Nothobranchius furzeri: one gene and its partner. The protein of the gene in region 2 purifies or fractionates together with the protein of the main gene of each other region. This does not show direct contact. Links are inferred from orthologs where the notes say so. Each region holds a gene or a part of one and is shown on either strand. Other genes may lie near its edges.

Region 1 (2,323 bases), on a different chromosome or scaffold from region 2:
CAGACGCGTGCGAAACTTATTTTTATCTTGTGGGTAAAAGCTGGGAACGGGTTGAGATGAACCACCTTCGGTTGCTCGCCCCTTCTGAGTCACTGCATAACGTCTGATGTCACATCCTGTCTCATCACAATAAAGGTAAATAAAACAGATAGTTGTATTTGTGAACCGTTCAAACACTACTTTAAATGAAATCTGCCTCAAATGTTTGTGCCTAAATTACAGCGGAGATCATTTAGTGATGAATCGGACGCGTTATGCACGTTTATGAGATTAGGAGCAAAAAGGAAAATAATGATGTGGTTTGTGTCCTTTATCTGTATCCTTAGACATACAGAAGGTTAATGAACAAAACGGGAAATAAATTTTTTCTCTACCTTTGCACAGAAATCACATTCAAAAACAGGCAACCCACACACTCTCACACACACACACACACTAATTTCCTCTACAATCCGAGGGCCATAGATAGAGAATGACTGTTAATTAGAAAACATTGTTTCATGACACCGTTGCTATTCAGACCCACATACGGACAATTAAGGACAAAATGAGTGCTTGTGTGTGTGTGTGTGTGTGTGCGCGTGTGTGTGTGTGTGCGTGTGTGTAAAGTCTCATTAAGAGCAGGGATCCTTTTGGGTCGAAAGTGCTGCTTTTTCTCAGCACTCGCAGACGGCCTGCAGCTCGTTTCCACTTCACTACCTCCTCCCTCTTCCTCTCTCAGAGCCACCAGAAGCGCACGTAGACGATGAGCATGATGAAAAAGACGCCACCTGCTGCCAGCTTGGCGTAGGTGGAGCGGGTGTTCAGGTATTTGGCATCACTCCTGTACTTCTTTGACAAGCTGGACAGATTGCTGGCCTTGGAGTCGAGCGCTGCAAGGAGAAGAAAACAAGATGATCCAGATGAGGTTTTTCCTCTTTTAGATTGAAGCTTCAGCCTCAAATGACCAAGACTGACCAGAGAGAGCCTCTCCTCTCTGCAGAACCTCCTCTATGTTTGCCACCATGATCCTCTGGACGTCCTGCAGCTCCGTGTTGATGCTACCCAGATTCCTCCGTGCTCGGCTGTCGATGTACGACTTCTTGGTTTTTTGAATGTAGGTGTCTAAAAGAGAAAAAAAAACGCAACAGAAAAACAGAAAAGTAACAATGAAGCCATGAGTTGTTTGCTTCAAACACTTCACAGTTTACAGTTTTAGGCTCATTTATCTGCACAATTGAGGATTTTTTTTTTTGTGGAATTTCAGTAAAGCTTCATCAGCTCTGCAGCTACTACTGTTTCCGGAGAAGATGCAGCATTTGGGACATCTGTTTTAAAGCTGAAGGTTTGATGCGAGGTCCTGGGTTCGCATCCCGCCCTGGGGTCTTTCTGCATGGAGTTTGCGTGCGTGGGTCCTCTCCGGGTACTCCGGCTCCCTCCCACAGTCCACAAGCATGACTGTCAGGTTGATTGGTCTCTCTAAATTATACTTAGGTGTGAGTGTGTGTGTGTGTGCATGGTTGTTTGTCCTGTGTGTCTGTGTTGCCCTGCAATAGACTGGCAACCAGTCCAGGGTGCACCCCGCCTGTTTGCCTAGAGACTGTTGGAGCCCCCAGCGTGGATAAGTGGGTACAGATAACGGATGGACTGATGGATTGTTACTGACTGATATTCTGAACTAATTCAGAAAGGAAGCCATGATACTACGTGCATTCATCCATGCTTCTGTGGCACACCACCCTGTGTGGGAATGAGATTTAAACAATATAATTTCATCACGATTTAGCTTTTATATCCAAATATCTGACCAGGAATCGAGTTTCCTGATATCTATATGAACACGATTCTGAGCAACCAGGCTGTCGCTGCTGACAGCATTTCACATGCCTCCTCCGTATTACCGTAATCCATGAGCTGTTCAGGACATCAGAAAATAACAAAAGTGCAGAAAAGCTCAGAGATTGCACTTTGGTAGCCTACATGACACCTCATGGTAGCCCCTCGGTGACTTTCATAACACGAACTTGATCAACAAGATGAGCAAGCTTCACTGTTGTAGTATTTGTTACTCAAGCTGCTCCGTACCGTAACACCTGAGAGGTTTTTCCAATTCAGTGTCTGGAAGTGCAGAAAAACCTTTCCGACTGTTGCAATGAACATAACAGAGAAACGGTCAGCAAGGGAGAAGGAGAGAGCGACACAAATAGTTTAAGAAATGATAAAAATCCTGCAAGTGAAGCCCACCGGACTGATCAAGTGTCCCAGAAGGCGCCCGAGTTATAATTATGAGCGTTAATATGTGGAGAGAAGTCTATGGTACGAATCTGAGTGGACAAGTTTTACA
Region 2 (3,762 bases):
AGTGCATTCTTAAATTTGACATATTCTTCATGTTAACTTGTTTTCATTTTTAAAACTCAAAAAACATCAATAGAAAGGCAGGAACAGCAGAGGAAGCCTGTGGGGAGAAATTGCTTAAAATGAAATCATAAAAGAAACTGGATCACAAATGTAAAAAAATATAAAAGCAGTCATGTTAACAAATGCCAGCAGATTTGTTAGATAAATGCAACCCAGTCTTGAACTGCAATCAGATTATATGATTTTGGCTAAGAAAAGAACAAACTAATCTACAAAAAGCCTAAGCAAAATACTGTAACATAATCTACAAGAAAACATTCCTTTTCCATATTTTAAATAATTTTTGTATAGTTCTAAAATACGTGATTATTTTTGTAAATTTTAAAAAGGTATTTGAATGTTTGACTCATGTAGTTACCTACCACAACCCATAGCCCTAAAATATGTTTGTCATGTATTTTTCAACAAAATATTTTACACACATTTAATTCACTGTGCTATAATGCAAAGCCTGGAAAACCACTTAACATAGTTGTTATCTATTATTTATGTTAAAATTGTAAAGATTTCAGCTGACAAACAGTTTCATTATGATGCTAACCCATTTTGATTAAAAATGTCTCTTTATAATGGAACTGGCATTGACTAAAGGAAAGCATTTTCTTATTATAATTCTAATCAATATTCCTTTAAAACTGCACTTTTGAAGATATTTACGCTATTACGTTTTATTACAACATTTATGCTTAAATATTGTCACCTTTAATGTCTGATTGCTTATAGAAAAATAATTGGCTGTTGAAAACAGATAACACAAGGGAACTGTTTTATATAGATTGTCATGAACGCACTGTAATGATCCTGAGACAGATTAGAAGCGATTCCTTTGTTTCTACAGCAAATATTAACAACGAACATGTTTCTTAATTAAATTATCGATTGATATATTGTGTTGCAGCATGGTCTACAATCAGTTTATAACATGAAACATTATAGATTTGTAATGGACCAACTCTGGACCGTACGAGCAGCACCTGAAGGCAGCAGGGCTGTGACCGCCCTCCCATTGTCACGTGACAGAGAAAGCGCTGGCTGCTGATGTGACACTGCTGTTAGCAATACTTAGCAACTTTGTTGACTTTAGTATTTTTTCGCCCCCCTTTAGATTCAGAAAAACAAGTAAAGCAGAATGGATAACAGTGGGAAAGAAAAAGAAGCTACAGCTTTAATGGCGGAGGCGGAGAAGAAAGTTAAATCATCTCAGTCGTTTTTCGGGTCGCTGTTTGGGTGAGTTTTAGTTAGCTGATGTTTAGCTTCTGCTTTCAAGCTGAGGGCCAGCTATGCGGAAGGTGACCACCTAACACCAGGGCTGATGGCTGGGCACAACAGGACTGGAGCTGCTGTTAAGATGTTGTGGTATTGAGAGTATTTGTCTACGGACGTAAGGTTATTTCCCCGGATTTCTGCTGACCATAACGTCTGCAAACAACAAAGACTAACACGTAGCCGTTTATCCCAGTAAACTGAGAAAAATTACACTGAACAAACCGTTGTTTGACATGGACGATAACAGAATACTAAATTCGTTTTTATTTAAGTATGACTGTAAAAAAATATTTTTTTAAAAAGTGTGATCACATTAGCTCTGCTGTAGCACCATCTGCTGGCTGTTCCGTATTGTGCAAATCGTCACAATGTTTACAGTAGAAACCTCAAAGTTGTATCAAATCTAATGAAAATTATTTATTGATATTTGCCTTTTGCCATAAAAATGTTGGTGCGGAAATATTGTCATTATTGGACAACAATCTCAACAGATGAAATACTATCTACTATTTTTATTTTGAAAAGTAATTACTTATTATCCAGTCTTGTTTATTGCATTTACACGATCCTAACCTGCTAATAACCAGTATCTTATAGTTGTTGTTTTTTTACACGTTTTTTCTTTCACACAGGAGCTCCTCCAAGCTGGAAGAGGCCTGTGATCTGTATGTGAGGGCAGCCAACATGTACAAAATGGCCAAAAACTGGTGTGGTAAGAGGACAGTTACTTTCCCTTCCTTGTGCATATCTGTTGATATGTTTTATCTTTTAATTTGTGTTTTCTTTTCAGCTGCAGGAAATGCGTTTGCTCAGGCTGCTCATCTTCACCTGCAAATGCAGAGTAAACACGATGCAGCAACTAATCTCATAGATGCTGGAAATGCCTTCAAAAAAGCAGATCCACAAGGTAAGAGGTCACTCAATTTTACATGGAGCTCTTTGTAAAAGGTTTTAAAATCTGGAAGGAAATACATTTTTGGACTTTTTAAAATTAACTTCATATAAAGTGCAGCCAATCTAATTAATACCTGGTTTGGCAGCAAGTTTGATCCCATGACTGTGTACACTTATCTACAGTCTTTAGTTTACCCCATACTAGCTTAGTTCCAAGCATCTTGTGTGTCTGAAATTTAGCTGTCTTCTATAGACTTACCCCTGATCGAGACTCTTTATTTTTAAAACTAAGGGTAGTTTTTATACATGCAGATTTTGAACAACATCAATGCCTGTTTGCAGCAGTTTATTTGTGCCTGTGCAGGTGGCACAACTCAAAACTAAATGTGATATAAGTAAGATGAAACGTCAAAGACAAATACCAGGAATTCTTGAGCAGTCAGAAATGTTAAACTCCTCAACCTGTGCAGAAGTTTCTGGGTAAGCCTGATTCTGATGTTTAGGGTAAATGTTTCCTACAGAAGTGCATTTAAAGACCAAGTTCACTGAGAAACTTTTTTTTACTTATTATTATGTAAATATGATTGGAAGCTCTGAGTTTTGTGTACAGGCTGAACGTGAAAAAAGTCTTCTACCCATATTTCCTGCATTAGTCGCCCATAGAAAATAGATGGGGAAATGTTTGAGTTAGAAAGTACAGTCAGCTCTACATCAAGCTGTGAATTAACATTCATGGACTCGCCCATCTTGGCTCACGACGGGGGAAGGCTGTTGTTGGTTTAGCACCCAGAAAAGAGCAGAGCTAGTAGACACTAACTGTTAGCATGAGCAACTCCACAACATAGCAGAACTCCTTTAGGCTTGTGTTATTTGAGGAGATAACATATCAGTGTTGCAGAACAGTCAGTGGTAGAGTTGTGTTAATGTTAGTCAATCAGAGGTGAGATGTCCGAACATCAGGAATTCTGCTCACTTCTGCTTCCTGAAACAGGAGCATGAGATGTTGTTTCACAAGCCATTCATGCATTCTAGAGATCACTGCAGATGTATTGAGAAAATGAGTGAACTTTGTCTAAAGTCTGTTTTCTGCAGTGGAAAGAAATTTCCTTTTACTTATTTCTTGTCATTCACTGAACTGATGTTTTTCTCTCAACAGAGGCCATAAACTGCCTAAACCGAGCTATTGAAATATACACGGATATGGTGAGGTTTTTAATACAAATCCCCCTCCTAAGCTATTATAGTTTTATTGATTTGTGTTTTTAATTTTGTTTCGTCCTTGCTCCTGTGTAATTTTAGGGTCGTTTCACCATCGCTGCTAAACACCACATCACCATCGCTGAGATTTATGAGACGGAGTTGGTGGACATCGACAAGGTCAGAGACACAGCTGATGGTTATCACGTTGTTTATATTTGATCAAATGTTTACATGGTCATTTGAATTTTTTTTTTTCGGGGGTGGTGGTGTTTCAGGCTGTTGCTCATTATGAACAAGCAGCAGATTATTACAAAGGCGAAGAATCCACCAGGTAAATATTTG

What was found.
Region 1: the proteins of napab (region 2) and sec22bb purify together in Homo sapiens (affinity purification with mass spectrometry; 3 studies listed by BioGRID and IntAct, counting the BioPlex papers as one, with this or other methods). This does not show direct contact. The link is inferred for Nothobranchius furzeri from reciprocal best matches to the Homo sapiens genes NAPA and SEC22B.

The regions. Positions count from the first base shown.
Region 1 is NC_091748.1:52,853,404-52,855,726, forward strand, and holds the end of sec22bb (vesicle-trafficking protein SEC22b-B), read right to left. Parts: intron 1,105-2,323; coding exon 958-1,104; intron 873-957; coding exon 718-872; 3' UTR 512-717; downstream 1-511. UniProt on the Homo sapiens protein: SNARE involved in targeting and fusion of ER-derived transport vesicles with the Golgi complex as well as Golgi-derived retrograde transport vesicles with the ER.
Region 2 is NC_091753.1:46,790,830-46,794,591, forward strand, and holds the start of napab (N-ethylmaleimide-sensitive factor attachment protein, alpha b), read left to right. Parts: upstream 1-1,064; 5' UTR 1,065-1,189; coding exon 1,190-1,287; intron 1,288-1,958; coding exon 1,959-2,233; intron 2,234-3,376; coding exon 3,377-3,423; intron 3,424-3,519; coding exon 3,520-3,597; intron 3,598-3,695; coding exon 3,696-3,751; intron 3,752-3,762. UniProt on the Homo sapiens protein: Required for vesicular transport between the endoplasmic reticulum and the Golgi apparatus. Together with GNA12 promotes CDH5 localization to plasma membrane.